Linked DNA regions of Macaca mulatta. The protein of the gene in region 1 purifies or fractionates together with the protein of each later gene. This does not show direct contact. Links are inferred from orthologs where the notes say so. Each region holds a gene or a part of one and is shown on either strand. Other genes may lie near its edges.

Region 1 (3,500 bases):
CCGGAAAAGCTAAAATTGTTTCAGAAATAAGCATAGTTAAGAAATTAGCTTTAATATTATTTTAATATCCCCATATTCTTATTGCATAGTAAGAGCTAACCTTTATTGAATGTCTGTTACCTGTCAAGCACTGTATTAAACACTTCTTACATGGATTAGCTATTTAATTCTAACAACTCTATGAGGTAGATAATGTTACTAATGAAATTAATTTGATCGTATACATTTTTTCCATATGAAATAATTAACATCGTTGAATTATAAATCTTGGATGACAGTATAAATGGTATGGTAGCATCTTAATAAGACTACTCAAAATGAATGAGGATTAATATTTCAAGCAATAAAATAGCTTGCTAACCTTGATTCTGTCACACCCCAGGACTATTATGTTTCACCCCTTGCATCTATTCAGGCTTTCAGCCTTGACAGTTATGATTGAAATTCATTCAGTAATCTTTCATTTATGCATAATTAATATGGACAAGACAGAATTTTAGGTATTGAGGGATTTTATGTCTGTGTGTGTGTGTATACACACACATGTATGTTTAATATGCTGGGGTTTCTGTTTTCAAGGAGTTTACTATAATCTAGTTGGATAAAGAAGCTTTTCTTCATGAGCATGAAGAAAAGCTCACAGTTCTGAGGTTAAATTATGTGAGATAAAACATGAAACAAGTCTGCACAAGACTGCTTAAGGCCCAAATCCAGGCTGCTACTTGTTTCATATAACCCATGATTTAAGACTGGTTTTTGTGTTTTACGAATTGTAAAACAAAACAAACAACAACAAAGAAGAATGTGTGATAGAGACTTTATGGCCCAGAATATCTAAAGTATGTACTCACTGGCCATTTAGAAAAACAGTTGTCTATAGAATTAGTGCAATTAGAAGACTGTGTGTATAAAGTGTGTTTGGTGGACTGGTGTGGTCTAGGAGGACCTTATAGAGAAGCTAGAGTTAATATGGGACTGTAATTGAAATTGGCAGGAAAAGGAGCAGGATCTGCAAAGATGGATGAGGTATGAATTCTATAGTATATCACGCAGATTATCTGAACACTTTGGTTGGCTGCTGTTGGTTATGTTTCTTTGGGAAAGTTTTTGTGTCATTGATTGCTTGGTTTTTACTTTATTCTTTTGTCTCCCCTTGCATGTTTCATACTTGTATTTTCCCCTTCTATAACATGATTACAATTCATATATTGTTCCATTCTTTGTGGCCTTCTATGATCTGATCTTAACCTATCTTTCTAATCTCGTATACCACTGCGGCACACGATAACATGGAAAAGGAAATTGTATATGTATGTTAAATACTGGTATTTTTAAAAGAATAGTTTTAACAAAAGGACAGTAAGACACTCTTTAAAGGAAGGGTTAGCAAACTATTTCCATAGAGGACCCAGTGGTAAATATTTTTGGCTTTGCAGCCAGGTATTCAGCTCTGCTGTTGTATCAGGAGAGCTGCCATAGACATTTGTAAATATGTGAATGAATGAGTGTAGCTGTGCTCCAATAAAACTTTATTTACGGATATCAGGTAGCTGAACACATTTGGCCCACAGGCCATGGTCCCTGCAGTAGGATATTTCTAGGTACTTAGAAGTACTTTGGTTTCTTTTTTCTTTTTTTTTAAGAGAGTCTCGATCTGTCGCCCAGGCTGGAGTGCAGTGGCACGATCTCAGCTCACTGCAATCTCCACCTCCTGGGTTCAAGCGATTCTTGTGCCTCCTGAGTAGCTGGGACTACAGGCGTGCGCCACCAGACACCAGCTAACTTTTGTATTTTTAGTAGAGACGGGATTTCACCATGTTGGCCAGGCTGATCTCAAACTCCTGGCTTGATGAGATCCGCCTGCCTTGGCCTCCCAAAGTGCTGGGATTACAGGTGTGAGCCACCATGCCCAGCCTAAGTACTTTGAATGTCAATAGTACTGGTTCTCTTTCTAAATCTACTTTTTAAAAATTATCAAAAGAGCCAGGAGTGGTGGCTCCAGCACTTTGGGAGGCAGAGGCAGTATTATCGCTTGAGCCCAGGAGTTCGAAACAAGCCTGGGCAACATAGCAAGACACCATCTCTATTAAAAAAAAAAAAAACTATCAAAAAATAAATACACATAAAAAATCAACCGTACAAAAGGGATTATAGTGAAAAGTAGATCATCCAGCCATGAGCTCTACTCTCTTACCCTCTCTGAGGCAACCATGGCTATGAGTTTCTTAGATACCTTTTCAAAGTTTACTCTCCATGTATAAGAACACACACAAAGGATCTTGGTAATAGCAAACACTGTTCTGTATCTTCCTTTTTTTGTATGAATATACACACAGACATACTATCTTGTTAACGCAAATAGTGTAAAATATACAGTTGTTTATGTTAATTCCTTCATTTCTCAGTATGTCTTGAAGACCTATGCCTTTACCTCAGGCTCAGTTTTTTTTTACTGAATTAACAGTATTTCATTTGATATGCATGCCCTACTGTATTTGAACTAGTAATTAAGGATATTTTAAATGTTTTTCCATTGCTAACCTTGTAACATTGATTGTTCTGTTTAGTGTCATTTTTGAGACATTAGCCTGTCTTCCTTTCAATTCAGAGTACTACCAACACCATTTGTATACATGCATGTGCCTATGATTTAAGATATTTTGGCTCCCTAATGGAATGAGTGCATATTTCTTTCACTCAGGAGGCAGCAAAATGTAGCCTACTGGGGCTTCATTTGGGGTCACTTTGTATTTCACCATCTTTGAAGAAGGAGTAAGGAAATTTTTCTGGCCTTCCTATTCCCCATTCCTAAATTAAAGGCAAAAATCCTTTAAGTATCAGGGCTCAATTTCTCTCACATCCTGTTTCTAGGTTTCTCATTCTCCTGATTTAATAATCATGGGAGCTGAGTGGGAGAAGGGAATAAAGAGGGATTCCCCATGAGGAAAGAGGAGGAAAGGATACTTGCATTCATTATGTGAAAGTTTGTCACCACCCACCCACTCCCTTGTGATTTATTCCGTACAGCACCACCGCGGTCCAGATGTATAGCAGGTGTAGCATGTGGAAGAAAGCTGTTGACTTGAATTCTTTCTGTTGCTTTCAGTTGCCTAGACCTGGAGCAGTGTTCTCTTAAGGTGCTGGAGCCTGAAGGAAGCCCCAGCTTGTGTCTGCTGAAGTTAATGGGTGAAAAAGGTTGCACAGTCACAGAATTGAGTGATTTCCTGCAGGCTATGGAGCACACTGAAGTTCTTCAGCTTCTCAGCCCCCCAGGTAGGTTTGGTTCTTAGGAGTTCGTGGAGCCAAACTTAGAAGAAAATCTCTCTTTTTGACCAGGTGAATGGTGTGAAGTATTTTTGGAAAATGTAAATGTGTAGGGCCTTGTTTGCTTTCCCAGGTTGAGACTAAAGAGCGCATAAAAAGCAAATGCAGCGCATGAATATTGGTTGGGTTGTGGTTGAAGAAACCAGCTACATGAGACATTTTTGAGATAGTTGGAA
Region 2 (3,967 bases), on another chromosome or scaffold:
CTGGCCAACATGGTGAAACTAAAATACAAAAATTAGCTGGGTGTGGTGGCGGGCGCCTGTAATCCCAGCTACTCAGGAGGCTGAGGCACTAGAATCGCTTGAACCCAGGAGGCAGAGGTTGCAGTGAGCCAAGATCGTGCCATTCACTGCACTCCAGCCTGATCGACAAGAGCGAAAACTCAGTCTCAAAAAAAAAAAAAAGAGTCTCCAGCAAACAGTAAACACCATTCTCACCTATTCTGAATATTTTTGCAAAAGGTATTTTAGATTGTTGCTGAAAAATAGCTTGGTTTTAAACTATATTTTAGTCTCCATTCCATGAAGAGGCTCTTTAATCCCAAAAGTTAAAACATTACTCTAAAACCCTCCAAAGTAAAGTTAACCATTTGACAGAACAATGTCTTTCTATCTCGTCATCTTTTATCCTCGTTACTGCAATTTGCACTCACCAATATTCCACACCAACAAAGGCCGCAATTTCTCTGATATTAAGATTTACTGCCAAACTCAACAGGTTAAAATTACTTATCAAAGTGTGGCTAAGTGATTAAGATTTCTTTTAATACAATTGATTTGAGTAAATTTTAACATAGTTGGTGCTGCTCAAACTGCCTTTGCCATTACCTATACAAATTTAGTCCCGACTGAAATGTGCCAAATATGACCATTCACGAAAGGAAAGCGTAATTAACACTTTTAAAAGAACCACAAAGGATTTTACATAGTATAATTCAACAATTTCATGTCACATCTGCTGCAGAGATCACAAACATTGTCACTATGCCATCTCCTTCCTCGAACCCCCACACCGCCTCCTGCAGCTTTATTCTTGGCTTTTCAAAGGTTTAATCCACTCGGGGCTGCTAAAGGAGGAATCAAGGAAGCATAATTTGTGAACCCAAGCTGAGAAAAGGGCAGGAATATGGGGTTGAGTCACGTCGTTCCGCCATTTTCTAAGCGGAGGAGGAAGACATGTTGGAACAAAAACACAACAAAAGAGCAGCCATTTCCCAAGCCAGCTCCAATAGCAACTCGAACTGACACTGCCGGGTCGCTTCAGCACCTTCAAATCCACTTCACTGGACAAACCTAAGAACATCAGACGTGCCGCCGTAAAAAAGGCAGCAGCCAACCCTTCCGCGTAGGGATCAAAGATGACCCGCACGCCTAACTGCAAACGAAAGCCTCGGGAAGAGAATGACGGAAGCGAAATGGAGCAGTGTAATACAATGAAATAAGTTGGCAAATTGAAATTTACTCAGTGATTGCGATGACTTACAGGAAGGCACCAGCTACAAGGAACCCAGGTAACTAAAACAAGACCCGGATTCAGCTGGTCTCATTACCTGCCTCTACCCACTTCCCCATTCCGTGCTTCCCTCAGCGGATCGCCTACATGCACGGGGTTCTTACCGTATGTGGGGGATGCCAACCCCACCTTGAAGAATCTTATAGAGCTTGCTCTCGTACAGCAACTGGGGATGCCTGGCCTTCTGAGATTCTAGCTTCACTGCCACTTCCTGCAGGGGAAAGAGGGGATGATGGCATCAACATCCCTACGGATTCAGTGTCATTTAGGAAAGGAGAGAGACATTAGCAAAACTCCAAGTCGCGACTACAAGGAAGAAGTGAAAAGCTGGAAAGAGAAAGCTCTCTGTAATTATAAAACGAGGCAACCAGCCTCAAAGGCCTCTTCAGGGGGTAGTGACGAAATCGTACGTCCTCTAAAGTGCAGGAAAATGATTCATCCAGAAAAAAGAAGCAACCTCTGAACGTAGTGAGAGGTTTTTAAGGAACTAGGCAATCGGAAACTGTTCTAATTGGAACAAGAGGCCCAGTAGGATTAAAAATTAAATAAAAGAAAAGCAAAGCAAAGCATGGGAATCACAGAAAGAGGATTTTGCCGTTTCCACCTTAAAAGTCGGTTAAAAAAAAAACAGCTCGACGAAGGGACATTTATGGGACGTGTTTAACAAGCTGGGAAACTAGTTCCCCCAACCTTTCTATCGGGTTCTTGACCCTTTTAGGGAGAGAGCGGGCGAGGATCGCAAGCCAGGAAAACTAGCTCCCTGGACTCCCTGGCGAGTGCGTGCGGTGAGGAAAGGCCCGAGCACTTTGGGGGTGCGCGGTGGTGGTGGGGGGAATGAGGAAAAGCGCAGCGTTATCGTGAACCCCACCCCAGGTGATTACCTCGCCGTTGGTGATGTTGATCGCCAGATAGATGTCCCCGAAGGAGCCAGACCCGATCTTCCGTACCAGTTTATATTTCCCTCCGACAATGAATTCGGCCTTAGAGCCGCTGCTACTCGCCATCCTGAGAGACGAAGATGGAGTCTGGGGCCAAGCCCCGACACCTCTGGGAAGACGACGGAGGCCTCTGGGGCTCCTACACTGGGCAAGGCTACGGAGGAAGGCGGCAGGAAACAGAACACGGAGGCCTTTACCGGCGTTCGGGGCCCAGAATCAGCCGAGCGGAACCTGATCACCGCCGCTCGGTCAGGTTTCTTTTTGCCAGGCCGCAGTTTGTGAAGGGCTTCTCGCGGTTACCAGGCTGGGCCACTTGTTTCTCGGCGGCCGCCGCTGCCTCGCTTGCGCGGCGACGTCGCGGGCTGGAAAAGGGGCGCGGTGAGCTAGGGCGGCGATACAGCTACCACCACTGCCGCCGGCTCCGGCCCTGAGGGACCCCTGTCACTCCGCCGACGCCGCCATCTTGTTACTCCAGCTCCAGCCAACACAAAATGCCCCCAGTCCCCGGGAGCCGCTTCTTCACGGCGCAGAGCACTCTGGGAAAGGGATCTGGGGCGCTCGCTCCGAAGGATCGGCAGCGAGAGGGCGGAACCGGATCCGTGAGAGTCGCGGCCCACGCTCCGAGCGTCACCCTGTCACCGCCCAGTAGCGCATGAGCGCTGCAACTCCTGCTGACTGCGCAGGCGTGCCGCGGCCTGCCTCACCCCGCCCCGGGCTTTCTTCCACTTCCGGTCGGCGGCGGCTCAGCTGGTGTTACCTGTTACTCGCCTCGGACCCGCAGGGTCTCTGGAAGGCTGAGTGGCCCCAGGCCTCGATGTTGGGAGGAGTCACCTTCATGTTTCGTGTCAGGCCTCCTTAGGAGTTGGGTATTGACCTTTGCTCTTTGAGGCGGTTTTTAACCTTTGATCTTTCTTCTGGCCGCTCCCCAGGACCGGCCTATTCCAACCCAGTTTCTGTTTGGAAAGAGGCTATCGCCTCTGGTGGAGAGGAAGAGAAAAGCAGCCCGCGTTGAGGAATCGTTCAGGGCTCTCGGTTATAGCAAAACCTAGCTAATTACCCTTCATAATTAGAATTTTCTTCTCTACTACGGAGTGTTATAGACCCTCTTTCCACAGGAGGGGAAAAAAGAAAGAAGCCGGAATCCCCCTGCCGTCCTACGTCTTTGCATTATTGCCTCACTACCACTTTTGATCTTCAGAAGAAAACCCAGTATCTTGTTCATAGTGAAGATTAGGGATAGATGGAATCAACAGAAAATTAATTTAACAAGAGTGAAAAAACTGTTATGCCCCCCAACCCCACCAAAACAACAACAAAGAATCGTATGTTGGTCATGTTGAAAACCGCAGTATTAACCTGAACAGAGTAGAGGTAACTATTACAAAATTTAATTGACAACATTTAAAGCTACACGGAAATTTTTTTCTTTTTTACTAAAAATCGATCAGAGAATCAAATCTTGACCACATTTTGTATTACAAAATTTGACCTGGGAAAATTGGGTTGAGTAATAGTAATGTTCACAAAAGAAAGCTCCATGGTTTATGCTATCATCTTAAGTCAGACCTCAGTCGTAAACATTTAAGCTAAGCCTATCCTAAATAAAATTTAATTAAAATAGAAATGAGGGCCGGGCGCAGTGGCTCACGCCTGTAATCCCACCACTTTGGGAGGCCGGGGCGGGCAGATGACTTGAGGTCAGTTGTTCGAGACCAGCCTG

What was found. The genes of interacting proteins can lie anywhere in the genome.
Region 2: the proteins of MALT1 (region 1) and CSNK1A1 purify together in Homo sapiens (affinity purification with western blotting; 3 studies listed by BioGRID and IntAct, with this or other methods). This does not show direct contact. The link is inferred for Macaca mulatta from reciprocal best matches to the Homo sapiens genes MALT1 and CSNK1A1.

What each region holds. Positions count from the first base shown.
Region 1 is NC_133423.1:22,322,937-22,326,436, reverse strand, and holds part of MALT1 (mucosa-associated lymphoid tissue lymphoma translocation protein 1), read left to right. Parts: intron 1-3,106; coding exon 3,107-3,273; intron 3,274-3,500. UniProt on the Homo sapiens protein: Protease that enhances BCL10-induced activation: acts via formation of CBM complexes that channel adaptive and innate immune signaling downstream of CARD domain-containing proteins (CARD9, CARD11 and CARD14) to activate NF-kappa-B and MAP kinase p38 pathways which stimulate expression of genes encoding pro-inflammatory cytokines and chemokines.
Region 2 is NC_133411.1:158,512,786-158,516,752, forward strand, and holds the start of CSNK1A1 (casein kinase I), read right to left. Parts: upstream 2,801-3,967; 5' UTR 2,314-2,800; coding exon 2,191-2,313; intron 1,521-2,190; coding exon 1,414-1,520; intron 1-1,413.